2 linked regions of the Neodiprion lecontei genome follow. Each later gene encodes a partner of the first gene's protein in a complex. Links are inferred from orthologs where the notes say so. Each region holds a gene or a part of one and is shown on either strand. Other genes may lie near its edges. The genes, in order: cysteine desulfurase, mitochondrial; adrenodoxin-like protein 1, mitochondrial.

Region 1 (16,586 bases):
CACGCATCGAGGCCAGGGGCGGGCGCGGGGGCGACGTGTATTTCGCAATGGTGGGTTCGAGGAATAATATCGACGCTCGCTCGACGGTGAGAAACAACGGGGACCGAGCGACCAGTCAATGTCGGTTATTTACAGGAAAACAAGGCATCTGAAATTACCCGTTATCGCGGGACTGTGTGGTGGGTAGTGGTAGGTATAAAATGGAGTCGCGCCACCAAAACACAGAATTTATTTTATAGGGTTATTTAAACGCGTCTGCCTCACGTCGTCGGTCTTTAACAAGCTCGTCTCTTCCTCGTTAGTTCTCTTTGTGCTTTTCTTTCCTTTTTACCTCCGCCTTAATTAATCTCACTTCAATGGAATGACGCACATATTCCCACAGATCGAGGCATACCGAATTTCAACCGTGTGTATCAGACGATCTATTTTCCTAATTATTCCGCGACGATGACGACGGGCTGCCGGAGGAGGAGGAGAAGGCGATGAAGCGAGCACGGAGCGCGAATAACTAATCGAGCGCTGTGGGCTGCGTTCGATTCACGCGGTACTATAAATACACATTTTTATCACGATGTAATGGAACGTAACATAAAACTGTAACAAAATACGCGATTACCACGCATAATTGTATACACAAAATATCGCACTTGGCGAATAATCCTATTCCGTTGAATAATTAGGCTGCATTTCATTACCGACTACCGGAACTACATGCCTCCAACCCCCATGGTAAAGAAGTTCCCGTACAGCTGACTAGGAGCCCTTTGTTCCGATAGTTAGATGGCAAAGAGGTTTTTTTGAACGTAACGTAACCTAAAACTATAATAAAATACGCGTTTACCAAGCATAGATGTATACCGCGGTATATCGCACTGGATGAATTATCCAATTCCATTAAACGATAAAGCTGCATTTCATCACTGACTGCCGATACTACAGCTCTATAGCATCCATGGTGAGAAAATTCCAATACAGCTGTCTAGAAGCCTTCTGTTCGGATAGTTAGATGGCTAGGAGGGTTTTTGATACTGCAATACCTCTCGCTCTCGGTGACGCAATTTCCTAGGAATTATCATGATGCACTACACTGGTCTTGTAATACAATGACTTTCTATTAGCCCTTCGAAACTATTCGTCCAAAGCCGATAGTTCGGAAGTAAATGCTTCATAATTTTTTTCAGTGCTCAAACGAACGCTGTATTTTCGGCGCATTTAAGGCTCACTCATCGATCACCAATTTGTTGAAATCAATCTTTCATTACAATGAACTAGCAAGTAACCGGTTACCGATAATTTAGATATAGGTGGAAAAGAATTGCGTTTTATGCCAACATTCAAGTTGTGGAGTTACGTAAAGTATACGCAATTCAAGTATCCAACTTGATCTTTGACCATGGCTACTCAGGAAGTCTTGAAGTTATATAATTTGAATACAGTGTAGCTGTAGAGCAAGGTTTCATATCAGTCCACAGCTATTTCGAAGGAATACGAGACTATAGATAATCCAACAATATTCGCACATGCAGGTTTTCACAGTTCCTGTAAATGAGGCAATCAAATGGTAAAATCATTGTAAAACATATTTATAAAACCTTTTGTTTATACATTGAAAACCAGACGAAAATCGTTCATTTGACTTATAGGTTTACAAAAATATTTCACAGGCTAAAGGTTCCTGTAATAACAATGGCATTTTCATACTTAAGAATACTTGAGTGTTGTGCTATTAACGCATGTATTGTCTAAAAAAAAAAAAAAAAAAAACTATTTTCCTCATCCAATAAACACCCCTCGAAGGTTTAAACTGAAAAAATTGGCAATAGATTCTGGAATAAATGAAGCAGCAGCCCTTTCCTGGGCTCAAAGCTTCGACCTCCGGATATCTGGGAACATGTATGTTTGCAGTCACGCCTTGGCCAGTTCCTTCTTTAAATTGTCAGCGAGCTTGTCCATAAACTCGAACGTCTCAAGATAGTCTGACCTTTTGACATTGTTCATGCCCTTGATGCAGATTGCCAAATCTTTAGTCATACTTCCAGCCTCGATCGTATCAATGCAAACTTTCTCCAGAGTCTCTGCGAATTTCTTCAACTGGTTGTTGTTGTCCAGCTTAGCACGGTGTAGTAGGCCCCTTGTCCAAGCAAAGATCGAGGCAATCGGATTGGTCGATGTCTCTTTACCCAGTTGATATTGGCGGTAATGCCGAGTGACTGTTCCATGCGCAGCCTCAGCCTCGACCGTCTTGCCATCAGGGCAGAGAAGCACAGAGGTCATCAGGCCTAGAGAGCCATAACCTTGAGCAACGGAATCTGACTGAACGTCTCCGTCGTAGTTCTTGCAAGCCCAGACAAAGCCACCCTCGGATTTCATAGCGTAGGCAACCATGTCGTCAATGAGCCGATGCTCGTACCAGATATTCTTTGCTTCGAACTTGGAACGGTACTCAGCCTCGTAAATCTCCTGGAAAATGTCCTTAAATCTGCCATCATATTTTTTCAGGATGGTGTTCTTGGTCGAAAGATAGAGCGGGTAGGTCCGAGCCAAAGCATACTGGAAAGAGCTGTGGGCAAAGTCACGGATGCTCTCGTCGGTGTTGAACTGGGCCTGAGCGATGCCAGCCCCCTTGAACTGGTAGACAGTGTGCTGGATTTTGTCGCCTGACTCACCTGTCCAGGTGATTTCCAGTTTACCGGCACCTGGTACCACAAAGTCTGTGGCCTTGTACTGGTCAGCATGGGCGTGACGGCCGATAATAATGGGTTGATTCCAACCAGTCACCAGCCGCGGAATATTCTTGCAGATTATAGCTTCCCTGAAGACAGTGCCGCCCAGTATATTCCTGATAGTGCCGTTGGGGCTCTTCCACATCTGTTTCAACTTGAACTCCTTGACTCGATTTTCGTCCGGAGTTATCGTCGCACACTTTATGCCCACGTTATATTTCTTTACAGCCTCCGCGCAGTCCACCGTCACCTGGTCATTAGTTGCGTCCCGGTTCTCCATACCCAGATCATAAATGTGCAACTCAATATCCAGGAACGGGAGTATCAATTTGTTCTTGATAGAGTCCCAGATGATACGAGTCATCTCATCTCCAAGAATGTCAACGACGGGTCCAGCCTGTTGGAAAAATGCTGTTTCTTTAAGTATTTTCATAAGAAACTGCTGAACATCTTATTTACAACAATTTCATTGTACAATCTAATCATGAACGGAAATTCCGAGAAATAATCAAACTATCAATCAATTGATTATTACGGCTTATATCGCGTGAGATAATGATCGCTGTGATATCCACATTGTAGTAGGAACCTTATCATTCGAAACTTATTAGCTTTCACTCGACCTCGAGCTTGTTTTCTATTTAAGTGAAACCATCGACATTCCACGGCAAACGATGGGTCGACTAAATGTGGGGGGGAGGAGAGGGGATCGACCTCTGCACTGTGCACCATAATGTGCACTATCATCCAAGGTGGTTTGGAACGGGGTTCTAATCATGCAATAAATACGGAATACTTCGGAACACGAACGCTGCGAACAATAAAGTTCCCCGAAAGGTGAATCGCAAGTGTCTCGTGATTTGAAGTGCCTTCTCTCAGTCGCGGCATTAGTATAGAAACTGTTTAAAACGGATACGCGACGATCGCGACCGGCCGTATGAGACTCGAATGTTTTTTAAACTGCAGGAAGATGAATCGGCTAACAGGGCGACGCCTCGGGGGAGCGTGATGGATCAGGGTGAGATATGTACATTCATAGATACCTTGATCTTAGCCATAGCGATTGACGTGGAGCTGAAGTTTTTCGATGTCTGTGTCGTCCACGTAAGGTTTCGTCTGCGCGATGCGTCGAATGAGGAGTTTCGGTCGAGCAGAGCGACGGACGACGTACTGCAGCGAAGTAATCGAGCCGCACTGTCCACGGCGGCACTCGGTCCTAACAGGCGAGTCAAGGAACGGAACATGGCGCCTGTTATTGTTATTATTACCGGATTATACGACTAGGGGATAGGATGAGTACGTGTACGGAACGGGTTGCGTACCGCGTATCGAACGATCCTAGAGTTGCACCGTCACTGGTCCCGTCGACCGGGTTCCCGAGATGTGTTATCTCTCGCGGAAAGTTGTGTACCCCAGGGACCTTTGGACGCGCTCCCCGGGTCCGAAGAGTACAATAAACCAACGGTTTATTGTCATTGACGGGTCAATTGATGCCACCCCTACATAAAATTGATAGCGAATTCTAGACGTTAACAGTATTGCTGACACGCGCCATTCTTTTAACGGGAGTTGGTTACGCAATCGATTGCCGCCTAGAGCGGCCAGCCGTCGAGTCAATCGGCCGAAGCCCGAGAGGCAATGTAACAGCGGTGGCATCCGCCATAAAATATCGGACTAATAACAGCTGCCCTCCAGGCTATCTACATAATTACGGTTCGCAATATTTTTTCATTTTGCCCCGAAATATCCGAAATATGTACTGCACATGCATTAAAGGTACTGTGTGGTGTTATTTAAAAGGCGGGCTGAATTAGCAATTTCTGTGAGTGTCATGCGTGATAATAACGTCTTGTTAATGCCTCAGAATAAATGAGATATTTATTTTCAAAGTCAAAACAAGGATGAAACTACGACATTTGCTACACTGATATGTAATGATATTTATGTCTCATTTGTAAACCACTGACCTCTACTTGTATGCTAGAGATCAGTGATGTAAACTCAGTGGTTTACTACAGAAAATCATACCGCGAACTTCACAGAGTTCGGCCATTTTCAGCACTCATTAGCTAGAGGAGCTAGAGAGTAAATTTGAGACCAAACTACAGGAGAGTGGATTACAGCGCCACGGTGAACAAACGATAAATGATATCTCCAGATTTCCAAGTTTTGTCAGTTGGCTACATTGAAGTCTAAGCAGGCAGAAAACAAGAGCAGAAAAATACATCGCGCTGCATCGCGCTGGCTACCGCGTTGTATTTTAGACTATCGCCACACGTCAAACCACAGGTTTTGTGTGTTGACAGGTGACACTTCCTCGCAAGGACAATTTTGATACTCGGCTCCCCAGTGCTTACGTTAAATTTTACCATTCTGCAATATACAAACATCCGCTAGGTTATTTGAAGATGTTGTCGATGGAGAGAATACCTGAGCAAATCGGTTATTTGGTATTAAAAGAGGACGGGGCGGTACTCACGGTATGACAACGCGATACAAGTCGAGAGCTTCATCATTGTTTACTTTTGTTTTTTTTTTTTCACTGCTGTCATTTCAGTCGGGTGGAGAGCTGGAAAACGACGAGAGAATTGCAAACATTATCATGAGCCTGATCACTCTGACCGACACGATCGATCCCAAGGCGTTTGCGTCCGATGAAACATTCAACAAAATATCCATAACCTACGAAGATCACTGCTACGTCATATGCCTGTCAAACAAGAAGGTTCACATTGTTAAGAAGAAGATAACCGCGTTGACCTCATCTCAAGAACAGCAGCAGCAGCACCTGCCAGTGATTGCTTGATGAGTCAAATATTGCTTATCGAAATAATTACAAGGAACATATGTTAAGTTGAAATATAAAAATGAGACATGTAATAAAGCAAAGATCGCAAATGTGAACGGTAGCAAGTTTCCTAGCTTTTTTGCTAGTGGTTCTGTTCATTGCACCTAATCGACTAATTATAGATGTAGTTGGACACCGAGGGTGATTCTTCGGTTTTTAGGCAGTCTGCGCCATCTATGAGCTTAGCAAAACGTCTATGACTGAACAAAGATGCTGCAATCTGCGCGAATATTTTTTAATTATCACGAATATGCATATGTACGCATGCATAAATGTGTGTAGTTATAATCGGTAATAATACGCGTGGGAAATATAACCCGTTAAACAATGATCGGTAGTATTGTTTAGATGTAAACAAATGGCCACCATCAAGGTAACCGAACAAAAGGTGATTTTATGTGGCGAATACGGGGTCGGGAAAAGTTCGATATTTAGGCGATTCGCGAACAATACCTTCGTCTCAAACAATGATAGAAAATCGACCTTGGGACTGGACAATATCAACAAACAGTACACCATTGACGAAAAAACGATTCGCGTAAGTAGCACATTTGCCTGTTACGTTCAGTTATTTTCACGCGTGCAAGTGCAGCTTTAAATTTATTGTGTCGGACAAGTATATTCATTTACACCTGTCAATTTTGGCTAATTTTCTACAACGTCGAGGGTGGTCCTGACTTTCCAGCTGCAGTTATGGGACACAGGAGGAATGGAGAGGGTTGCCTCTATAACATCCAGTTACTACAAATTTGCAGAGGCGGCAATATTGGTCTTTTCGCTTGACAATCCGACCTCCTTTCACCTCCTCTCACAGCACCTTCTTGACATTGTAACTTACGCGGAAAACGCTAAGATATTCCTTTGCGGGAACAAGAGCGACTTGGAAAGCGTTGATCCTCAGGTCACAGATGTGGAAATGGAACAATTCTGGTAAGAGAAATAATCTATTCACATCGTAATTATATGTTGAGAATTAAAGCAATAAGTTCATTGACAGTCGTAACTTTTGTTTCCCAGTGAACAGTGTCACAATTTGATATCGGCGACGTACAAAACGTCGTGTAAAACGGGGCACGGGGTTGATGAAATGTTTGAAGATATTGCACGCCATTTGGTCGAGGCAAACAGATCGCGTATGGAACTGCACGATATGGACAAGGACCACTTCAAAATCACAAGTTCCGACGAAATCGACGAGCCATCCTGCTTGTGCTAATTTTGATTCAGCTTTTAATGCCCAGAACACGTTTCTCTAGTCAACTCAAGAGGAAACGGATTTCAATTTAAAAATGCATGATTTATGTCATGACAAACGCTGGCTGAGCATATATTAATATTATAATAATTTATTGACGGAGGATGAATGATGTGTGGCGATTTGATAAATTTTCAAAATAAAAATTTATTCATTTATCATAAACTCTTATACTACTATGCAGCGAATGCAATGTTGAAATCTGGAAACTTGAAATCTCACTAAGCTAGTCATAATTTACTATGTATCACTTAACAAATAATCCGTGTACAAAGCCCTTTTTGAGTAGGAACTGTTCAGTGCTGCGTCCATTTGATTGACTTGATATCGATACCCTCTTGTACCATTTCCCACAGTGGACTGGCAGGAGGAAGAGAAAACAGAATTATATCAATTTTACAAGCAAACAAAACTTTTGCTAGAGTTTCAATTTTGACATCGAGCGCATAAAACACATACCTCATCTCTCTGAGTCGAATAACGTGGCGTATGATGTTATGCGCTGTGTAATCGACTTCTTCACGAGTTGTGAAACGACCAATTCCAAACCTGAAATGCACAGTAATTTGCCATTGTCAGCATTTATATGTCAGATATCCTAGTTTGCAAAAATTGTACATTCACGCCTACCTTATACTGGAATGTGCCAGGTCTTCGGCAGCTCCAATGGCACGTAAGACGTAGCTTGGCTCTAGACTGGCGCTCGTGCAAGCTGAGCCGCTGCTCAACGCCACATCTTTCAAAGCCATCAGCAATGACTCTCCCTCGACAAAAGCAAAAGAGAGATTCACGCAGCCAGGATACCAGGCAACTTCATCACCGTTACGCACCACATTCGTTAAACTGCCCATTATTTTTTGTATCAAATGCTGGGAAAGATCTTCTATATACTTGTGGTCATACTGTAAACGTGGAGAAGAACACAAGTATTAATCCAGATAATTTTCAGTTCAAATTGAAGATGATACTTAACACCAGATACTATCAAACTGACGTAAAAATGTAATTTCTTTTGAAATCAGAGACTGATGAAATTCCTGGAAATTTTCTGAAATTTCCTTGTAAAGTAATAATCTCATGACATTTTCAGGTTTTCCCAATTTTCTGTAATGCTGGACACTTTACAGTGAAGCATATGGAAAGTTGAGAAAGTGTTGTACTAACAGCCATTTCCTTTTGTGCGAGCTCGCAAGCAGCCCCCAGCCCAACCACCAGAGGTGCTGGCACCGTTCCACTTCTCATGCCTCTTTCCTGACCCCCGCCACTTTGAAGGGCTTCGACACGAACCCTTGGCCTACGCCTGACGTAGAGTGCTCCTATGCCTGAAACATTAGTTGAGATGCATGGATATTTTGAAAAATTTCTCGATCTCTTTATGCACTACCTTTTGGCCCGTACAACTTATGACCACTGATCGACATGAGATCTATGTTCATCGCGTTCACGTTGATCGGAATTTTTCCTACAGCTTGCGCAGCATCTGTGTGAAAGAAAACTTTCTTCCTTCTGCAATATCAACAAATATGATAATCTGTTCACTGCTCAATACTTAACGCTTTTATCTTTGTCTTGTTCTGAAACTTAAAATATATTTTACAGTATAACAACCTGCATAGAGCTCCAATCTCTGCAATTGGCTGTTGGACACCAATTTCGTTGTTCACAGTCATTATCGAAACAAGTGATGTGTCAGGCCTCAGAGCAGCTTCAAGTTGGTCTATGTCGATTAATCCATTGGGTTTGACAGGGAGGTATGTGACATTGAATCCTTCAGCTTGCAAAGCTCTGCAGGAGTCCAAAACGCACTTGTGTTCCTATGTAAAAAGAACAAGTTGAGAGACCTCAATACTTCTCATCAAATGCCCGTGGCTTCATACTTCATTATGTTTTACAAATATTTCCATTCTGGTCTCCAATTAATTTTATTTCAAGCATACAATATATTTGAAACGGAATGTAATCACAAAATTAGAAACAAACTACGTAAGCCAACATCAATGATTATTTCACAGTGAAAACATTATCAAATGGAGCATCAAATAGTTTACATCGTATCCAATTTTCCTTTTCAACTCACAGTTTGTGTCGTTACAACGTGCTTTTTCTTTTCCTTGTAAAATCTAGCCACACCCTTGACAGATATATTATTGCACTCCGTGGCCCCAGACGTGAATATAATTTCCTTCGGATCAGCTCCTATCAGATCAGCAACTTGCTACAAGAGAAATTGAAAGAGGATAGAATATAAAGCACTTAGAGAAAACGAGATCCTTACTAACTTTCCGACCACGCTCAACAGCTGCCTCTGTTTCCCATCCATACATGTGAGTCCTGGAATGCGGATTGCCGTAGTATGTTGTCATGTACGGCATCATCTGGTCCAGCACACGTGGGTCCTGAAATGAGAATCGACGTATCAGTTGACACCCAGATGTACTAATACTGATTAAAACAAGTTAGCGAAGTTTAGCGATTGAAATTTTTCCAAACAAACCGTTATTAAAACAAAATACGTTTATACAATCACAAGTGTGAGATTAAGAATAATTTTAGTTCCGTTCGAGAGGTGGATAATTACCAATGGTGTAGTGGCCTGGGCATCCAGATACAAGGGCCGACCCTCCGCTGGACCCTTTTTGTACTCATCACTGATGGGAGCTGGAAAAAAACGATTTTTAACAAGTAGTTAGGCGCAATTGCATAATTTGTAGTAAAATCTTTCGTTTACTAGTTCAGCGTACATTCGAATTCTTTGACAGCCGCGTAGTGTCGCTTGGGCGACGAAATCACTTCGTTGACGTGGTGATCGCGCGCAAGAGGCACGAGTCGTTTCCACAAACGAAACATTCTTTCGTTTGATCGGCCTTCTTCAGTCGTGCGACATTTACTCAATCAGTTGGCCGGTCGCGCGCTCAAAAAAAGGAGGAATTTGGGTTAGGAATCTCGATGCGAAGGCAGAGGAAACTGTACGGATCTAATCAAGATCTTGAATCTCGAGAGTCGAGAGCTAGGCGTACGCAGGATCACCGATCAATTGGTGCCGCGACGAAAAGAGATTAGTTGGAATGAAGTGAAGTGAAGTGCGGTTAACCTGAAAGAGCGTCGGTAACCCTGATAGAACAGCTCCTGCTCGTAACTGCGGTTCTGTTTGCCTCTCACCAATCGGAAACTCGTCCCCTCGGCCTCGATCAGCCGTCAATGGCGCGAAAAACTCCGTGCAGGATGTTTGTTAAGATTGTCATTTGCTAATTGCACTTTACACGTACGAATTTGTGATAAAAATTTGATGCGACGCAGAGACGTTTAGAGTTAACAGGTACAGTGCGTTGTTTGGATAGATTCAACTATGCGCGCATGAGCTGTGCCAAAGTGACCAATATGCATCCAATATGTGAAATCATCTTTCAGTATTCTTCTTTTCCTCTGATGGTTACCGTTTTAGAGTAGTCATTGTTAAGAGTGCCCTGGTCGATTTTGATGTTGACTTATATATTTGCAAACATCGAAGTCCACGTATCTCAAACGCAAAAACGAGCTCAACATCCCGATTCTATACGCGATTCTGTACAAAAACACTTTTATACATTTGCATTTAACGCAGAAATAAAGAATTGGCATGGATTCTATGAAATCACTATAGTAAATAAAATTTGTAGAATTCATACCCTTTGAAATGACCGTTGACATAAAACGTTCATAAAAAAATTTTTAATCTGATCAACGCTGATTAGGGTCACCGTTTTTAAAACGTCAATAGTCTCCAGTCAACGACAGTCTTCAATGAGTCAACGAAATTACACAGCCTTTATAAATCAGTTAAAATAATTTACCAAGTAAAACTCTTGTTCGAAACATTCATTTACCTTCGTCTCATTTACGTGTTATGTTACTCTTCTGGATTTGTTTTGAAAATGCCGCGTCAATTTCTCATCTGTACTGCTCTGTGACAGCCGTGGTAGCAGACTGAACTAAAAGTACGCGTGCTTTTTGTTTGTGTCAACAGTACCGACCCTGTGCCGACGCCCGCGAGAGTGTAATCCTGATTTTCCTGAATTTTCCCCGCACTGTATTATCACAAATCTTAACGATTTCTTCAACAATGCTATTCGTAACTGTGTAAAATCACCCTTAGGTCGTACTGTATTGCGATTCTTGCCCAAAGTTGAACTTAAAATTAGGTTTGCTTATATTATTGTCGATACATAACCTAAAATTCGACTCATCCTCTCACAAATTTTAGCGATTTTAGCTACATGGTTCGTGGATCACTTCTTGTGTTCTCTTAGATTTCAGCCTCATGATGATGGATGCCGCGATTGAAACAGAGGAGGTGATAGAAAAACCACCGGTTAGCGTGCCAGTCGTCAGAGTTCCCGTCAAGCACACCAACCTCGGCATCAGAAGTCACGCAATGTAAGCTAATTATTGGTCAACCCGTAACTCATCACTTCCGTGCCAAATATCAGATATCACATGTTTCATTCTGCAGGGACATGAGCACAATGGTTGAACTGACGTCGTTCAGTTCCCTTGGGAAAATTCAGCCATTTCTTGTCACTCTCTCCACAACTGCAGCGCTCATCGTCGACCTGCATTGCCATCTCAAGGACAAGGAGGTGTGTGGTTATCTTGGGGGGCATTGGGACATTAATGCTCACAGTGAGGTTCAGTTCCTAACACATATTTGTAGACAACATTGAAAATTGCGGGTTTTTATTAAGGATCTTGATGCCCATAGATTTGACAATAAACTACGCGTTTCCATGCCGATGTAATGGGAAAGACAAAACTGCAGCTGCAGCAACTGAGGCTGAAATTGCACGAGCCATGGAATGGAAGCATCTCACGTTGGTAGGATGGTATCATTCCCATCCTAGGACGCACGCGTCGCCGTCGCTCCGCGATGTCGATTCTCAACTAGACTATCAGATAAAGATGAAAGGACTGAGTGACAATAGTTACACACCATGTGTCGGGCTTATCTGCTGTGAGTTTCGTTGTTTGCGTTTTGGTCATCCCAACAGTCTTAAATTTTTGGCTCACTTTTCGCAGCTCCGTATAACACAGATAATAACTGCTACGAGTCAAACTTCAACTTCTTTTGGTCGCTCCCTCCACCGGAAAATCGGCCTCACGAGTACCCGAGACCAATGCTGCTCAGCTACACCCTGTCCCAGGAACAATTCCTTTCTCAGGAAGCTATTGATGAAATTGTAAGATGTTCAGCACTGAATTTCAATGCCGTAGTTAGCGACTGTGCAGCAGTTCAGGTATCTACTATAATGGCTGGTTTTTAATTTTTCAGAAAAAATGTGTCGAGTATTACAAAAATGACGGCTGTGTCGACTTCAAAGGAATCTTTAACGGTTCTGTGACGTATTTGGAAAAATTGAAGGCAAGTATGCGACGCGTGCAAAAACTTTGTGTATTGAGAATTATGAAAAGTAAATCAGTGCTAGATAACATTTTTGTATCATTCTTTTTCGTAGAGCTCATTGGAGTCAAAACTACCGAGGAACCAGTCAAACGGATCGTACTGGGACGCCATCAGAGAAATCGTTGCACCTGGAATGGAGGATCCGCCAACGACAACGCAAGCATCGAGCATAGCGGGAAATTCGGATATATTTTCGAATGTCAAGTTCCCGTTGGTGCCTGACCCCATGGGCCGTTCTGGCATCAATCCTAACAATCTTTTCCTCACTCCCGTAAACTTTAAACTAGACTCTAGCGTCTCCATACTAAAGCCGTTCAACGTGCCGTCGACTTCGAAGGACAAAAACGACACCCTTGAAGCCACCAAAGGGCAGAAATTCGACTTACCGATGCCGGATATGAATCTCAATGCGAAGCACAAGTTGCCGGCTGAATTCACATCCGGTGAACTGACCGTTTCCGTAAAGAATTCCAAACCAGACTACGATTTCTCAACCGCGGACTTTTCCAAGGTTAGCAATCTCCTGTCGAGCGATTCCAGCTCCCACGGTGCCGGCAAGAACAGGATTCCTGAATTCCCACTCGCCGATATATCGCAGCTGAGCAAATTCTCGGACCTTTCGAAGCTGGCCAACTTTTCAACCAGTGATTTGGCCAAACTGTCGGGTTTCTCAATAAACGACATTGCCAAGACGTCCCCAGCCTACGCCTGCAACCTAGCCAACCTGTTCAACCCCCTCGGTGGCAAGGCCCAGGACGTGACAGTGATCGACGTTAACAAGACTACCGAATTTCCCATATCCGAATTCATCTCTTCCGACATCTCGTTTAAGCCCTCTGACGTCGTCAAGGGTCTTGTCGCAATGTCGACCGTCGATACAAAACTCACTGTCAGTGAATTGCCCGTCGGTGAACAGAAGAAGAACCCCGACTCCGGGGACTCGTCGAAGTCAACCAGAAACGATTACTCTATGGACGACGTTTCCATCGCGAATGTAAAGTCCGATTTTGGTACTATGCTGGACATGACGGTGCACGGCATGAAGCAGCAATCTGGCGGCAATGACTGCCCGGACTCTTTGAATTTGAGCATAGATCATCAGTCGGGAAAGTGATGGAAGGGTGAGGGGAGGGAGCGAGGATCGTAGATCGATCACGTCGAGGCTCGTTTCACGTTGTAAATCGGTACTGCTACTTACTTTAACGAATACGGTATAAGATATAGGTCTTATAGGTTTCACCATGACTAATTGAACTGAAACTCAAATCGTAGGCTGTAGTAATTTATTGGACCAGGCATACACAACAAAGCGATGTAATCTCTCAAATTTCCCCATTATTCTGGGTGGGAATATTATCATATGTACTCCCACGGTCACTGCATCTGTAGCTCCTGGGATGGGCAACCGAAGATACATAGCAATTTAGGTGAGAAATTCTGTGCGAAATTAAACGTGTAACTTCGTTGCCTATCTCGGGGACGACAGCTACCGTGACCGTGATTGTACCTAAGTAAACATAACACGATTGTTGCGGATGGGATGCTTCCGGCGATTTTAACGGACGTAGTTATTCTGAAACATTACTATTTAGAACCATGACTTTATTACCGTGAATAAAAACCATTTTTATATCTAAAACTATCTTTTCGATGGGTGTCATCTTTGCTTTTGATATTATAGATTTTTTGTTTTATGTACCCGTATTTCCTGCCGCCTTGTGATTCGCTACTCGCATCGCACTCCGTCGTGTCTGTTGCCTAATCTTAGGCACTTTTGCAAAGATCCTTGAAGGAATGAAAATGATCTACACTAGATCATATAATTTTGCAATCTAGATTTGGAATATTACTGAAAAGCGCTTTAATGTTTATACCTGATATATAATATAGTCTCCTTAATCAAAGAGACTATACATGTTCCAGACATTCTAGATATGATTGCAGTATTGCAGGTAACTTAGAATAATATGTTACTAATAGTTGACCCTTTCGGTACGCACGCATTCTACGTCACACCGTCCCCGCTGACCGAGCAGTCGTGGCAAGCGTACAGTCACCGCTCAGACAGAGCGAGCGTCGCACGTTGGGTGACTATAGTCACCGCTCAGGCCGAAAGGGTTAATTAGCTGGTGAAAAATGCAATTTTCAGGATCACCTTGCGAGTGGAGAATATACGTGAATTGGAATTGCAGAAACTCCCGCGGGATCGCAATTGCATCCCCCTGTCTGAAGATCCGTTACGAAAAGGCTGCAGCCATATGGTAGGAATGCGGTGCTCTCGCGGATCTATATATCGCAATCGGAGAGTGTAACTATAATATCTACATATTATATATATACATACACATGTGATACAAACTTTCCGAAGTATGTGACATTTGCTTTGCGACAGGGCCACGGCATCCCCGCTCCCTTCTCTTCCCTTCTCTCACTATCCATAAGTCGGTCTGCTCTTTCTGATATAACAGATCTTTCGAATGACGTCGCGTCCAATCGGATACCGAGCTCACCTTCGTGAAAGTATACGGTGGCCCTGCCGCCCGGGATCTATGGCCAGTCTCTGGCCAGTGGCCCCCAGCACACAAACCTTTAATCCTCGCGCGTTCTTCGTCCGCGATTTGCCTTCATACTGCTTTCACCGCGGTAATGCGATACGTATATGCGGAGAAAATACAATTCCATGCAATTTTAATTACCACCGCATCATTGTGCCCCTTCCCATTGTTCATGTATAGCTGATGAACCTGAGGAAGGGTGACAAAGTGTTATCAGTGCAAAACAAGAAGCTACCCAGTCAGATCCGGGATATCGGGATGTCCGACGTTCGAGTTTAACCACTCTGCTGGATCACTTGCAGATAACATCGCGGAGCGAAAGGTGCGTGCGAGAAATCATTTTCGTATTCCTCGATACGACTTAAGTCGAAAATCGTCTAAAGACTTCCGATGTAGAGAACTTCGCGACTCTGCAGATGAGGTTAATTAATGATAACATTTTTTTTAACCAAACGATGTCTTAGCAAGGAATTTTGAGCCGAAAAATATCGAATCTAAAAAGCCCAAACTGATATGTATAATGTTTCATAATTTATGTTTTCGAGAACACGTTATAGATCCGCAGATTTGCGGAGAATGTTAATATGTAGCTCACGTTACCTTGGGCTCACCGGATAGCGGTAGTTTTTAACGCTGACAGACGAATTGACTGTACAAATTTAAAATCTAAAGACATCTTGAGGCCTCGAAGTCTCAGCGGAAACAGTTTAGTTAAAATTAGGCTATTGGGCAACGAATTTTGGTCAACTTTTCACTTCGTCGCATGTTGTCTGGGTTGTTTACCTAATCAAGACAGCTGGAAATTCCACTCGACGGTTGTCTTCCCGCGTACGTCTAGGTATGGAATCATGCTCTGGTCTACTTTCTAACACACCAGGTGACTCCTTAAGGCAGCGAGCGGATCAAACAGCGGATGTAGCGTGCAGTGTTTGTTTGCCGTAGCTTATTATTATTTCTGCGCATAGGTATTAATACTTATTTATAACACACATTTGGTCAAACGGGAGCGGTTCGGTTCCGTTGTGACGCAGCTGCGGAATCCGTGTGATTCAGAAAATCACGATGAGGTTTATTGAGTGCGTGTAAAGAATTTCCAGTGATTTCATCCGCTGCAATGGACCGGAAACGACTCTCAGAAACTTACGCCAGTTGGCAGGTTACTACATCTCCCGATACCTATTTCTCGAAATCAGATGTACCGACCAATGATCATTGCGGGCATGTGTACATATCCATCACTCTTCTGCACCCCCGATTCAGTGCTCTTTCTCTATTTTACGATCTGCACCAGATAAATTCCGTGCAGGTTGAAATGATATTTATGATATACTTATCACATGTGTATTGAATTATTATTCGTATTTATAGCGGGCTGTGTAAGAAATGATCGATTGAAATCAAACTGTCCACCTTTCCTGATTCATAACCAGCTTGGACGCGCATAACTGTACAATTCCTATTCACCGGGGGACCAGGCGCGTGGGCGATGTATGTATGTAAGTACGTACGTGTCATACTGCGAGTGTGCCGGAGGTGAACGTGAAACGTGGGATTGTTTATTATTCACCTTGCAACTTTTCGTCGTTTTATTATTCAAGCACATATAACGCATGCTTTTTAAATCCTCACTCGTACAATACGGGCATTTCTGTACAATTTTTGAAAAATATACTGTAACATGCGAGGACATATGACTATAACTATAATTCGTGCTATCCGCCGCGCTCTGATTACGTAATAATAAACCGTTTGCAGCTACCAACGTCGT
Region 2 (15,021 bases), about 3.3 Mb from region 1:
AAGCTTTTCAGAAACATTAGACGAAAGCATGCCTGAACTGCCAGTCGACATGGAGGTTAAAACAGAAGCAGAAGAGTCTTTCAAGATGACCTGTGACGGTGAGGATAGCGGCACAACAACAGAAGATATGTGGGGCGATGAGGAGACTAAGAGATTTTACGAAGTATTCCCAGACCTCACCGTATTTTTGCCTGGTTCTTATTCAAAAGAAGTACCTGTGCTTAAACCTGACGAAAATCAACTAACAGAAGAGGCTCTGGACGAGGAATTGGCGCTGGAAGAACTCGAGGACACAGACAAAGTTGCCGAAGAGCCAGAGGCAGAGGTTGAAGAGACACACGTCACGAATATCAGCAACAAAATATTATTGGACGCGTTTCTGACTCACCTTCCCAATTGTGTTAATAGAGAAATGATTGACAATGCAGCTGTTGATTTCCTTATGAATTTAAACACGAAGCACAATAGAAAGAAACTCATTAAGGCCCTGTTCGGTGTGTCCAGAATTCGGCTAGATTTGCTGCCCTTCTACTCACGGCTTGCCGGCATCCTTTATCCAGTTATGCCAGACGTCGCTAATGACCTCTGTCTAATGCTCAAGCAAGATTTTAAGTACCACGTTAGAAAGAAAGACCAGATCAACATTGAGTCAAAAATAAAAGTTGTTCGTTACATCGGTGAGCTTGTTAAGTTCAAACTGTACTCAAAAATTGAGGCACTTTACTGTCTTAAAGTACTATTGCACGATTTCACTCATCACCATGTTGAAATGGCTTGCAATCTATTAGAGACGTGCGGGAGATTCTTATTTTGTTCCCCAGACTCTCATCAACGCACAAAAATCTACCTGGAACAAATGATGCGAAAAAAGGCGGTTACTGCTTTGGATTCGCGTTACGTAACGATAATAGAGAACGCTTACTACTTTGTTAATCCACCAGAGTCCACTGGCGGTATTGCAAAAAAAGAAAGACCACCTATGCACGAGTTCATTAGAAAACTACTTTACCAGGATCTGTCCAAGGCAAATACTGACAAGGTATTGAGACTAATGAGAAAACTGGACTGGGAGGATGACAATATTTCTACGTATGCTATTAAATGCCTTGTAGCCGCCCATAATGTAAAGTACCTGAACATAAGGTGCGTTGGTAGTTTACTAGCAGGTTTGGTGGCGCATTATGAGGCTGTTGGCCCTTACGTTGTAGATGGCGTTCTGGAAGACATAAGGCTGTGCATGGAGGTAAATTTGCCAAAGTATAACCAACGTCGTATTGCAATGGTCAAGTACCTCGGGGAATTATACAATTATCGCCTAGTCGAGAGCGGCGACATCTTCCGCACTCTCTACCTGCTCATAACTTTCGGCGTTTCTACAGATCATACAGTACCTACGCTCCTTGATCCGCCTGAGCATTTGTTCAGAATCCGTTTGGTCTGCACGCTCCTGGAAACATGTGGTCAATACTTTAGTGGTGGTTCTAGTAAGAAGAAACTGGATTATTTCCTAATATTCTTCCAGCATTACTACTGGTTCAAGCGTAGCGATCCTGTATGGACCGTCGAAAATCCATTTCCAGTCAGCGTCGATTATATGTATCGTGACACACTGACAATGCTTAGGCCAAAGATGCAGCTGTTCCAAGGTTTCAAAGAGGCCCGTTGTGCTGTAGATGAATTGCGCAACACCTTGTACCCAAGTCTCGCCAGAATTGAAGTAAAGGAGGACGAACAGTATTCAGGTGAACCACGCGCATCCGACAGCAATAATGAATCTGAAGCAATGGGAGCTATACCAGAGGTCGATGAGGAAGTGACGACACCTACGCCAATAGCTTCAGGTAACGGAAGTGGAGATGCCAAAGGTATACTCGAAGAACTGCACTTCGATGAAAGTGAAGAGTATTCTGAAGCACAGTCGGAAGATGACTGGGCAACAGATGGTTACAGAGAAGGTAATCATGGTACACAGGAAAATACTCAAGGGGAGTTCAGTCTATCGGCAGGCGTGAGTGAGGGGGTTGTTATGGACCCCTCAGAATTAGATGCTGCGCTACCAATGGCGCCAAGGCGGGTTGGCTGCCCAGAAGATGACGATTTTCTTTCGGCCCTTGACAAAATGGTGTCTGACAATATCCAGGACCGGATGCGTGACTCGGTGAAGCCACAACAGGTTGATATATCTGTGCCACTCCATGTCAAGAGCACAAAAAAGACGTATGAACAATTACGTGAAGGACCGTCGGACAATACGACTGTGGACTTTGTACTCATGCTTAGGAAAGGTAATAAGCAGCAGTATAAAAATCTTGCTGTTCCTGTGTCTTCCGAACTCGCTATGAATCTCAGGAATCGGGAACAAGAACAGAAAGAAGAAAAGGAGAGGGTGAAGAGATTGACACTAAATATTACCGAAAGACAGGAGGAAGAGGATTATCAAGAGACTATAAATCAAGGCACTAGACCTGTTACCGTTAATCTGAACAGAGAACGTCGACAAAAGTACAATCACCCAAAGGGTGCGCCGGATGCTGATCTTATTTTTGGGCCCAAAAAAATTCGATGAGCAGAAAATAGTGTAACCTCGGCAAGGTATATTGTAATGATAACACTTGATATCGGTTTCTTATGCCTGTGGTAGCCATACTACCTGTGATGATTTTTATGCTATATGCATAAGTGGTTACACACACACACACGTTACGCGAGTACATCAAATGTTTAAGTATACAAAATAATGTACGCTGTTCTACAGATCTCAAATTCAAACGGGGATGTGTTTCCAAGTGGGATCGTTCGATTGAAACCTTTCGACCCCAGCTTTACACATCCATTACCAATAGGTATACGTGTAAACTCGGCATGCGCCGTTAATTGAGAAATAAACGTTCCAACGTTAAAATTACGTACAATAATTCGCATGCCTAACATCACATATTCCATCAACCATTTCCGACACACGATAGATAGTTACAATAATCTTAGATTGTCATTTTTACGCAAGGTATACTTCTCCGTCTAAAATCTCATTCCCATTAATCGCGTTAATGCGCAATGACAAAAATCAAATGCAATATTATATCTATATTTATATACCTATATTTTTTACCATAGGAATAGTTATCATGTACAAAATGAATATGAATATAAATTCGAGCGCTTTGTGTCTTAGCTGACAGAAATTTACTTCAGAGTATTGTGATTCGGTAAGCTTATAGCATTATGTCTACAACGCGCATGAAAATAAACTGCACGAACAAAGAGATATAGTGACGATTGACGCACGTTTTAGTTGACAGCAGAGAGTAGAATTTAATACCACCAACTACCTAAGGGTCTTCTTCAGCATCTTCAAACTGGCCTGCTTCAATATCCATGGCTTCGTCTGTATCTGCACCGTTCTGATTATATGCTTCATCTGGAAAATTACCATGCCAATTGAATGGTTACAGGGCCAGCATCTAGATAGCAAATTGTATTCAATCTAACCATTCAACAAAAACAGAGAGAAATCATACCCGATGCCAATATGTATGGCATAGCGTCTGTTTCAGCTTCCCAACATTTGAAAACATCGTCCTCAGCATCCTCATAGATATCCTCTTCAGCTGTGAAGTTTTTGTTCATTTCTATTCATTATAATTGTTTCTGTAACTTATAACTTGGAATTGAAATCTATAGGGTTCTGTAGCAGAGTTAGAAATAAATAAATTTGGTCAATTTGCGTGAAAAAAAAAGGTGCATTATACCTCCAAGGTAGAATACAATAGTAATTGAAGTAAAGTCAAAAGGATTGTCATGAATTTGAGGCATGACCATTTAGATACCTTGAGGATCAGGGTGGAGTGCTTGGCACTGGCTCATCGCTTGAAACATGGCATCCAAGCTATTTGAATTTTCTGGAACGAATCTCATTTCAGTCATTGGAGTTTCCGATTCATCGTCGTCGTCCTCTTCATCGTTGCCTTCAGATCGGGCATCTATAGGCAGCAATTCTTGCATATCTGTTGATATAGCATGACACAGACATACAGAGATATTTGTCCAAAATTTGAGTTAAGAAATACAAAAAAATCCTCAATCATCAACCGCAAGTATAGCACATGTATAAGGGAAAAAAGTATCCTCGTTTTTCATTTACCTGCAGGGTCTAATTTTGCATCTACCATGACATAAAGGTATTGGTGAGGATGTAGTTGTTGGTCCCTTGATATAGCATGCAGCGATATATTAGGATATTCCAATGAAAATCCTTGACCAGTCGTCCCACTAACCCATGATAGTAGGCTGAGAAAGTAAGATTACTTATAACACAGCCAATCCATGTTGCATATGGGTTCTAACCGTTGCTCTTGCGAGCCACTAGTTTGAAACATCAAATAAAGGGAGAGTTGTGTTCTTCACTACCGATACTCTTATTTTTATCGTGTCATCTACTTTAATTTGCAAAAAATTAATTCAAAGTTTGTACTGTAGAGATTCTACGCTGACTATACTAATTCTATAATCAGTATTACACCAAAATATAATATAATCTTAAAATTATTACACGAATAAAATTTAGTGTAGATCACTGCCAATCTAGGTCAACAGTACGATAAAAACGGCATATTACCTTTCTGTCACATACAGTGTACCCTTTCCAACTTCTCTGTCATTTATGTACAACGTAGTGTCAGGCTCTTCGTGTCTAACACCTTCTTGCGGCAGTAGAAAATTGATCAGCACGACCATTTTACAATCTGCAAAATAACACCACAAATTAAACCTATTCTACGTTATCATTATTGTAAATTAGAAGAAGTTAATTATTATAGGTTAGAGTTCAGGAGTCGAAGGGAAACCTACAACTTTGGGCGACTTGATTGATATTCGTAGCTGTATGACTGAACAGCAATTACGGAATCAAGAGCATTTGCTTTTCGTCGTGGGCAGCCGGGAAAATGGTTCTGAGTCAAAAACTCTTAAATCCACATTTTTCTTTTGAAAATATGTATCGCTCGAATGAATGCAGTACTTTGGTACCCTGTCGTTTCTCGGTCCAAGATTCAAACACGTCGCGCAACGAATGCAAGTCTGTCCGTGATAATAATGTAATAATTACCGAACTGATCGATCTTACCTCGTTTTACCTGCCCTTGACGTATGTACGGTACTTTCCTCCGCAAGTATCTCTTGCCGTTAATCGAGAAGAATAAGAATCACGGAAAGTATCGCAAGCGCTCGAAGCGCGGATCGTTCACTGCAGTTTTTCGGCCTGGTACATACACCCGGTGCACCCCTCGAGGGAGAAGATTTGACTCCGTCCCGCCTTTCTCTCTACTTTTTACCCTCCCGCAAAAACGCAATAGAGATTTTGACACTGCGTCGCCGGGTTTTCTCAACCCTCCAGCTACGCTGCATACCCGTGGAGCTTATGTATATATCTCGGTCTGCGTCGTGATTGGCTGAGCCCGCTCACTCAACCAATCACGGCACAAAACGAGAACTCGACGTGCTCAGCGGAGTAGGTGCTGCACCCTGGTACCCAGACCTCGTATTCATTTTGTAAACACAACTTGAAACTCCTGCACACGTATGTAACATGATGCATACATTATACACACACTGTCGCAACCTCGTGTGAATTGACAAGTCGCCGCTAAGTATTCTGTCTGCTCTTGCAAAAGCTACCTGACCGAAATGACAATGTCTTTGCCAAACCTTTTGTCGAGGTTCTTAGTAAAGAGATTATTGTTTTCGTCAAGCTATTATCGTCCAAAAATGTTTTCCCAGCTTGACATGCACACAACTGAGCGTAAGTCGCAGATCACGATTTCACGACCATTCTAACCTCTCAACGGAACTTCATAATGTGTCTATACCATTTTCTCCTTTAAAGGACTAGGTCACGGAGAATACGAATATCAGGATCCTACATCGGAGGACCAAGTGTAGGTTATTACATTCAAGTTGCCCGATTTACAGTCAACTTCTTAAATTTTCGATCAAGTCCTGTTCTTACGGTTTTGAAAAGCCGGATAGAAATTCTGCCTCTCTTATTTCGCAGCGTCAACGTGGTGTACATTACTAAACATGGAGAAAGGATACCAGTCAGAGGAAAAGTTGGTGACAATGTATTGTACTTGGCGCACAGGCACGGAATTGAAATGGAAGGTGCATGTGAAGCTTCCTTGGCCTGTACGACTTGTCATGTCTACGTAAATTCTGATCATCGGGAAAAATTACCCACAGCAGAAGACAAGGAAGAAGATTTATTAGACCTGGCTCCATTTCTGAAAGAAAATTCCAGATTGGGTAGGCTTTGGCAGTAAACGAAATTAAGATATCCAGAGTGGACAGAAAAATTCCTTTACAGTAACACTCTTCAAATTGAGGTACTTTATTTAAAGAGAATCTTGCGATCAAAATGAAATTCGCGGAAGTCATGCCGGATTGCCCTGGTTACTTTTAATAACAGTTGGCTTCCTTCACTCCCTTCTTAAACATGAATATTGGAAATTGATATTGGATTACATCCGATTTTCACCACTGTACAAAGTTTCAGTTAAAAAGAGTTACGTTTGCTGAGATAAAAAAGAAATGTTCCTAATATAATAATTAACTTCCATGTTATATATACCCCATTTCTTGGATTAATTTTTGATTCTAGGATATTTCTAGGATTTGTTTGTAGCCACTGTCAGACTCTTCCAATAGATGAGCTAAATAGATACTTTACTACTTTTTCATTCTTTCAGGATGTCAAATAATTCTGACTAAAGAATTAAATGGATTAGAACTTGAACTTCCAAAAGCTACAAGAAATTTTTATGTAGATGGTCACACTCCAACACCCCATTAAAAAAAAGGGAAGAATTGAATCTCCTACATGTTCAGAATCCCGCTTGTAGCCACATCATAATGTATTGTATATATAATATATTGTACATATAATGTATAATAAAAACCTTACCTTTTTTGATAATTGATGCAATCATTCTCATACTGACGACGATTTAGTGTTTCTACAGAGCACAGTAAACTTTACAGATGCACAAAGCATCACATTGACGGAAAAAAAAGAAACATACTTTTACAAAGTCACATCATAGTTTCACAGTTCTACTTTTTGTCCTTTTGACATTGCAAGTTTTACGTTTTGATTGCTCACTCACGTCTTTTTTGCTGTTTTTACAATATCGTTTGTGATACCCAAAATAATTTAATTTTTTATTCCCGTTTACGATCGTTGATATTGACTGCATTACTACCTTTTACATATCGAGCTTGGGTAATCAGGAATATAATGTTAAAGTCTGAATCAGTTTCTCGGTACAGTAGTTATTTTTTTTTTTTATCTCGGATTATAATACATATCTCTCCAATTACAATGATACAAGATTTAAACATTTACGATATAATGAGTTAATGAATTAAAGTAATTTGATTTTTCAATATTACATATTTTCTCTTCCTCTTTTTGCCTTACGTGTCAGACAAACTCATTGAGTCGAGTTCGTTGTGTAAATATATATATATACATACAATATACGTATGTACGTGTATATATGTATTTTTTTTACATACATACATATATAAATACATATGCATAAGGTGAATATTTGTCACGATACAAGTAAGAGTTGTAGAAACTCTTATTTAATTTATCATAACTTCATAACATCTCCTGATTCTTCCAACATGCTACCCAATGTTCCATGGTGAACTTATAGGCGTACATGTTTTTACATTTAGTACGCATATTTTCACCAACAAACCAATCGTATTTGTGTTCTGTGTGTATAATTATGTGTGTGTGCGTACAAGCGTGTGTAAATACACGACGCACATAATCGTACTCATTTACTTATTTTGGGTTTATAATATTATTGTTATTATCATCTTATGACCTACAATATTTGTTTTTATATTATTTATACTTTTTATGCTGATACGAATGATCAACGCGATCATGGACACATTGTAATACTTTTGCAAGACATTCGTCAACTTCCTCTTCTGCACTCATCCTCTCATTCTCACTCTTTCTCATCCAACAATTGAACAATAACTTATGAATTAAACGCATCATTCACTCAAACGCATTTTCTCCTACAATTGCTGCCGCACATTTAGAGATGATTACACGCGTATCCTCATTTGGTAAGAATCATCACAATTACGGATGCATTGGGGATAATATAGCTTTGTACTTGTTTGTAATTTAAAGAAAAAAAGACAAATCTTTCAACATTAAATAGCAGTCGTATATATATGTACATACATATATATATATACAAACACACGCATATATGTGTTCGTGTGTATGGTATACATATATTATAAATGTAATAGTATGTCCATTAAAACGTATGCGTTGCCAGTTGTAATTGCAACGGAGGTTGCGATCGGCCTAACCAGTCGACCAATCAATAATTTATTGTGTTATCATCATGCCGTTCGTATCAGAATCACAAAAATTTGGATAACGAACGATTAGAAAATTACATCGTATTTACATTCTCCATCAGATCATGTCAGCACTGCCGACAATGATCAACGATTCAACCCTTTATTTTAGAATTTTAAAGACAATTATTTAAATTGTAACGTCGCTGCGCAGCATTGCAATTCTAATAACTTTTCGTGCGATATTCACATTCTCTGTTGCAAAGTTGGCAGGCAATACGTTCAACCTCCTTATATTATTTTGAACGTTTCCGTCGCACACTTGGTGAACATGATATACGATAGAAACAACTTTGGTGACAATATAATAACTTGCCCCGTCGTAGACCAACAACAATAGTAATAATAATAATAATAATAATAATAATAATAATAATAAAGATAATAAGAACTAATGGGTGAAATGTCTTCACTGGATATAAGATATATTATAAGTTAATCAAATAAATATACACATATATATACGAACATATCATGTATACACACATGTGTATATGTCGTATATGTGTATATATAAATATATCATAAAGCAATATTAAACCTAATCGCGCTATTCTATAGCAAAAGGTATTCTATGTGCTCCTCTGAGCCTTTAGGAACACACCGATACCTTTTGAATATACAAAACTGTAAAAAAGTCAATACAAAATCGAATACACTAATATTCATCCGAAAAAGCTTCTCCATTTATACGGTATACATACTTATAGGTATATTCACGACCATGCACACAGTCGCGCAACTTTTTCACTTTTTTACGAAAACTGCAAATCGGTGGAAATAGCATACGATTATTTGGTACCCCTGCATCGGGATTACAATTATTGGGACGCTTAAACGGATTCCTAGCCGTAACAGCATACTGCCAAACGGTATCGTACTGCAACCCTTTTGTCCCCATATTTTGGCATAAAAATTTCGTTTCAGTAGTACAACACCCTCGACAAGTTTAATAGCAGTGCGATTTTTCAGTTCGACCACACTTGAGAATCGGTAGGTACTTCAATCTTGATAAGGTGTGCGATGTCGTATATTAGTACGTTTAGTATTTTTTTTTCGCAAAATGCACAGAGACATATATATATATACACACGTGATTCATCTTTAAACCTCTTCTGTATCGCAGTTTAAACAGATTCAACGGTACGAGTATATTCGATTTTATCATACGTACACAGAGTTCGATAATTTGTACACGCTGTGATTTTAAATTAGTATACATATGCACGTACTTCCCTATTGCGTGTTTCTTTCTCCGAAAAAATTGTGTGCATATATTTGTAACAGAATACCAAACAGATCAAATGAACATTTAGAACTGAATCTTGACAAAATTGAACGAGTCTGTGAACTGGCTGGAGACCTATATTTCTGAAGACCATAATCATTAGTCATCGTTATTCTCATCATCATTACCGTTATCATCGTGGTTGTTGTCGTTGTGTCATAGTTATTATTCGATACAAGTTTTAAAATGCGGACAGGAAAGAATGCTTGCGAAATGGAGCACTTTTACGTACGTTTACTTTGCTAGATGCGGTATGTTTTTTCTTCGAAGACGATAAGTACGGAATAAATTTGATTAACGGTCGTATCCGCTGCTGCTTCAATGATGCACACTTTCTTCCGCTGTCCACTCGTTGTTATAATCGATAGAGCACCCTGTAGATTTAATAAGACATAACGAACCATAAAGTCATAATACCACATTAATATTTGAGTGTGCGGAATGCATGTTATTAAAAAGCTAACCTTATAGGCGACATTGGTGTACAAGAGCGTGTACCGGAAGCTGCCTACCCCTCTGATATCTCTGACGCCGACCCATGCCAGGATCGTGGCAATGGTATACATTTGCAACAGCGACATTAGCACCACCGACTGTTGCAAGGCGTCTTGAGACGTACTCGACGGAGAACGGGACAGAGATATCAAAGGGCTCCTCCAGTTATTCCATGGGATAATGGCGACCTCCGCACAACCCGCAAGACATTCCGCACCAGTGAACGGCGCGAAGAGGTGGGTAAAACCACAAACAAGGAACAATCATTGACAACAGAGCCAGTCCGAACCATCGCCGACCACAGCCTTCCTCCGTACTGCAGCTGCGAGCCCATTTTCAGTTCGATTTAAAATTACTTTCATTCATTACTTCTCATTGCGCGATTCTGGGAGATTTTAGGATTTCCAGACCGAAAATTGATATTTTTCATTGTAAAAAAAGTCGTGTTATTCAGTAATCATGTGAGGAACAAAAATTTTCGAAATTAAAAAAAAAATAAATGAATAAAAAAAAATAAATAAATAAATTAGTATTCAACCACCATAATAGCAAAATTTTATACTTTAAAATTGGCATTAAAATATGTATACTCTGAATTTTAAATATATAAGAACGTTTTCAAGTTATAGTGATACCGTCACTTACCTGCACGGGTTCTGTGCAAAATCCCCCTCAGCGTCGCTCATGCAGTGATATAGCATGCACTGAGCACACGAAAGACATGAAACGGTGGCGATGCCCCGTCTGACTGGATCAGGTGCGTATTCACAGGCACCTCTCGGATTGTGCTGCTCAGAATATAACTCCTGGCAATGTTTACACCGTAGACGTACACTGCTATTACGTTTCCCGCAACTTTTTGCCATCTGTGAAACTATTACATCTGGCTTCTTGAGCGAGCTGGAAGAGCCGCGTCTGTCGAACCTCCCACCTTTATGGTCCTCGATAACTGGGTACTGGTACTCATGGTTCAGGGTTGTCAGTTGTACGTACGGGTAATTGTCTGTACTGACGTCCATTGATTCCAAGGGATGATGCGGCGGAGGTAGCGGCTTTGCTGAAGGGCCGCCAATGTAATGAATCGGTGGTGCTTTATGGGGGTCCAAAGAAAAATCCGGGCACTGGGAATGATGGTGGTGATGATTTAGCTTACGAACTGCACCCCGCTGTGTTTCGGATGATGGGCGTGGATCTACCGGATCCACAGGCAGGTTTAATGTCTGGAATCGTTTAATGTAATTCAACCATTGTTGTGAAACTAATAAAATAATATTACTTTCAAGGGAGACATGCATTCGCTATTGTATGGTACCGGATGGTGAGGTAATAAATCAATGTACAGTAAATTGAGCAGTAAAGAAATGGAGACTGAAGTTTCTGTTCATGTTACCAACTTACCATAAAAACATCGTCATCTCCAACATCTGATTGACCACAATACAAGGATGATTCCGCAAGGCCTAGAACAATAATTCACATGTAAATTTCTTGTATGATGATCTCACCTACTTGAAACAAACTACAGTGATATCATGTACAAATTACATAGTTTTGATAAATATACTCACCATGGTCATTAAAAGTCCGAGATAAGAGTGCAGCAAAAGAACAAGCATATTCTATCAATATTTTCCTATTCCATATTTATTGAACGTCTGAGTATTTAGCACAAATTGCATACTTTGTAACTACATGAACGTATCTTTTTATGAAGATAACTTGAATGTATCTTTTCAAGAAAGTGCATAATTCATTGACACATGCAGAATTAACCTTTAGACACCGTGGCTCTTTCAGGACTCAGCAGATAACTCGGAAATTCCACCAAAACGTGTTAACTACTTATATACATAAATCGTACCTCTAAAAAATATCGAGTTTTAAGGGAAAAATACCGGCCCTCTAAAGGTTGATAAATTTCTAATTGTCTTAATCACAGAAAAAAGAAATGTTTGTAAGCCAGTTAACCCAACAATCCATGAGATGGGTAAGCTTTCACATCGATAAATACTAGATAAAAATCAATACACCGAGTAGATTTTAATCAATTGAATGATAATTCACCTTCTAGCAATTCTTCAACCGCTGTACGGACCCCCTTGTCAAATGCCCTGGCATCCGCAGCTGTTTGAAAGGTAAGTCCAAATTTTTTCTCTCCTGTACGCCAATGGTGAAATGTTGGCATGACTTTGTTGTATTCAAAATCCTTTTTTATTGTGCAGCTAAGAACGACCTGAATAAATTTTTGTCAAAAATATATCACAAGCTCATGGTTTTATTTATATTTTTCAAGGAAGGCTTAGAGAATGAAAGTCTTCTTTGAAAAATCCTTGGCGCATAGTAAAAAGAAACTACTCACAGTCTGATCAGAGATTCGTTTGCCATAGATGAGGTATTCGTGTTTGCCATCTGTTGCCCCAGGTGGGGAGGTAGTTGTCGAATCATGAGACGTAGAGCCAAGGTTAGGGACGACGCCGGGGTGGGCTGTGCCAGAGGTTGACGTGGTAGGCACAGCGGTTGATGAGGCGGCGGAAGGGATCCCAGGACTTGCAATGCCGACATTGGGATGCCCCCCCGCGGTGGAGGGAGACCTCCGTCTCACAGAGACGTTGGACAATCCCCCGCCGCCAAGAGGCACCCAACCCCCGGAGCTGTCGTCCCTAGTCATGACCTGGGCCCTGACCCTTACCAAGTAGTTACCACTGGAAAGTGTTAAAAGTCGTTCAACTGTTGTAAAAGAATGAAGTGAAAGTGTTTTTCTCTCTCAAAATCGTTCAGACCAATGATTCTGATTAAGTTAAGGCTGATCTCGAATCCTTCTGAAATCGCGCGTGTGGGGGAATCGGCAAATTATCAATCGCGTACGGCCGATGGATTTCATGAATGGATCGTACAATGACAGCTGGGGAAGGGCTGGATGGACGCAGGGAGGTGAGACACGAACATACGCGCGATAGACGTTAGTGGAACAGTTTTCGACAACTGATGGAATGACGGATGTTAGGTAGGCAGGGGTTGACAGCATTCGCGTACATACGTTACGTACATTACGTGCGAAACAGGGATAATCGGCTCAGGAAGGAAGCGTGACCGAGGAATCATGCGTTGGCCGAATGATGAGAGGAAAGAGTACTGTATTTTAGAATGAAATCCGAATAAAATGGTGGAAGCGATTGACGGAAGACCTAGCCCTGTGCGAAAAAAAGGATAGAACGGTCGCTGGAAGTAGGGTGAAATCGGTCGAGTAGAGCAGGGTGTACGGTTGCATAGATACGTGCATAAGCGTTTGGAAACATGTAAATGCGGATACGTGTATTTAACGGAGTATATCGTAGCTAAGGTGTAATATTTTTGTTTTCCGTGAGCGTATGCGTGGGTTTAGGTGTGCATGTCTGCGTTCGTTGATCATGTATCGTAGGCGATGGAAGTATAGCACAGCAGGGCTGTTTGCTCGGTAGAATAATATGATTCGTTTTATATCTACTTACTCTTCCGACGCCTCTGTCATGGTTCGAGCTGTCAAAGCCTTTACTCGATGCCCACTTTTTCCCAAATTTCACCATTTTCGTTGCATTGAAAATACATTCGACCGCGATTCTACCGTGTGAACTCTCTTTTTACTCCTTTGCTGTCTTTCTTTTTTTTTTAGGCTAGCGCCAACTACAGGAAGCGCCCCAATCCACCTCTGCCCCCCGAATAACCCCGCACGTCCCGCTTGCCCTCGACCGACGACCGACGACAAACCCCTCGCTCCGCCCCGCCCAGAGCCGAGCGATCCCTGGCTTATAACCCGTCGTCGTTGATCTACCCGCGCCGCGACGAGCCACGAGCGTCGTCGTTCCTTGTCTCCTTTCAGTTTTTACTTCCTCGGGAATACCGTCGACGTTTGGAAATACAGCGAATTTCACATTAATGTTAAACGAACAGTCCTCTCCGCCACATCGTTCATATTTTCCGTTTATTTATTCTTATAGAAGAACGCGTATACATGTATAATAGCCATGCTCTCGATCGATGTGTATCCGTTTGTCACCACGCTATAGGAATTAATAATTGTTATCAGGATGCAGCTGCAGATGATGTTCGCTATGAGTCTCGAGCAGAATCAACCTCGCCATACTTGGCGAATTATTTATATTTATTTATTTATCTTGTATTCTTCCTTTCGTTTTCTTCTTTTGGTTTAATAACACCTGGATGAATGAATAGGACCCGCGCTACGAGCCCATTCATCGGCTCGCATTCACACGAGGATCGCGCGGGTCGGTTTATGCTTATACTGTATGCGATGGTCAATGGTGTGCGATCCCATCGCACACTGCACAATAGAACAGTAGGGGTTAGTAAAAGCATGGATAGAAGGGTTTGCTGCAGTTCGACGTGCTCCGTAGAAGAAAACTGCCATCTGTTCCCGCGAGAGGCGGGCCTAGTTCTGTTTGGTTCATTCCTTAGTTCCTGAAGCTAAATACTGCAGAATATTGGTCGTTTACTGACATAGTTACCTACCATGGACCTTAAGAATTAGTTCCAAAAATGTTGGGTACTCCAGCATGTAGGAAAATTAGCCCTAAGAATTTTGATCAGTGCGACTGTCGTTCGTGCCGTTTGGTTGGTAATAGGACGTTCTCTGTTTTTATCTAATCCAGGAGCTAGAAGAAGACAAAACATTTCTGTCGGTATGTCTGTGTATGGATAAGTACTGAACTGTAACTGTGAGGCTGCTATCTGTGATTGAATATGAGTAACCTATGTCAGGAATTCACCCACTGATCCCTATTCGGTGAATT

The links.
Region 2: the proteins of cysteine desulfurase, mitochondrial (region 1) and adrenodoxin-like protein 1, mitochondrial are in contact, whole or in part, in a cryo-EM structure (PDB 8RMC), measured with the Homo sapiens proteins. The link is inferred for Neodiprion lecontei from reciprocal best matches to the Homo sapiens genes NFS1 and FDX2. Residues at the interface, in NP_066923.3 of Homo sapiens: Gln153, Lys157, Leu160, Asp161, Arg164, Ala168, Tyr175, Ala384, Ser385, Leu386, Glu387, Pro388, Tyr390, Arg393, Gln456, His457; in NP_001384335.1 of Homo sapiens: Ala104, Cys105, Glu106, Ala110, Cys111, Pro141, Leu142, Ile169, Thr170, Arg171, Asn172, Phe173, Tyr174, Val175, Asp176, His178, Lys181.

Annotation. Positions count from the first base shown.
Region 1 is NC_060264.1:23,141,098-23,157,683, reverse strand, and holds cysteine desulfurase, mitochondrial, read right to left. Parts: upstream 9,704-16,586; 5' UTR 9,674-9,703; coding exon 9,568-9,673; intron 9,485-9,567; coding exon 9,405-9,484; intron 9,223-9,404; coding exon 9,106-9,222; intron 9,042-9,105; coding exon 8,904-9,041; intron 8,641-8,903; coding exon 8,435-8,640; intron 8,333-8,434; coding exon 8,211-8,332; intron 8,149-8,210; coding exon 7,991-8,148; intron 7,729-7,990; coding exon 7,457-7,728; intron 7,376-7,456; coding exon 7,286-7,375; intron 7,187-7,285; coding exon 7,123-7,186; 3' UTR 6,954-7,122; downstream 1-6,953. Other genes in the region: isocitrate dehydrogenase [NADP] cytoplasmic, read right to left, coding at 1,906-3,120, 3,767-3,967; ragulator complex protein LAMTOR4 homolog, read left to right, coding at 5,132-5,203, 5,281-5,529; GTP-binding protein YPT6, read left to right, coding at 5,930-6,109, 6,257-6,501, 6,589-6,787; uncharacterized protein LOC107224137, read left to right, coding at 11,124-11,239, 11,316-11,485, 11,565-11,813, 11,879-12,039, 12,132-12,221, 12,316-13,377.
Region 2 is NC_060264.1:26,456,357-26,471,377, forward strand, and holds adrenodoxin-like protein 1, mitochondrial, read left to right. Parts: upstream 1-5,595; 5' UTR 5,596-5,682; coding exon 5,683-5,797; intron 5,798-5,881; coding exon 5,882-5,933; intron 5,934-6,049; coding exon 6,050-6,297; exon of another isoform or gene 6,298-6,377; intron 6,378-6,740; coding exon 6,741-6,844; 3' UTR 6,845-6,967; downstream 6,968-15,021. Other genes in the region: regulator of nonsense transcripts 2, read left to right, coding at 1-2,566; methylosome subunit pICln, read right to left, coding at 3,330-3,418, 3,519-3,629, 3,828-4,004, 4,142-4,287, 4,616-4,734; sprouty-related, EVH1 domain-containing protein 1, read right to left, coding at 10,400-10,556, 10,880-11,454, 11,633-11,694, 12,299-12,467, 12,594-12,936, 13,723-13,742. UniProt on the Homo sapiens protein: Electron donor, of the core iron-sulfur cluster (ISC) assembly complex, that acts to reduce the persulfide into sulfide during [2Fe-2S] clusters assembly on the scaffolding protein ISCU.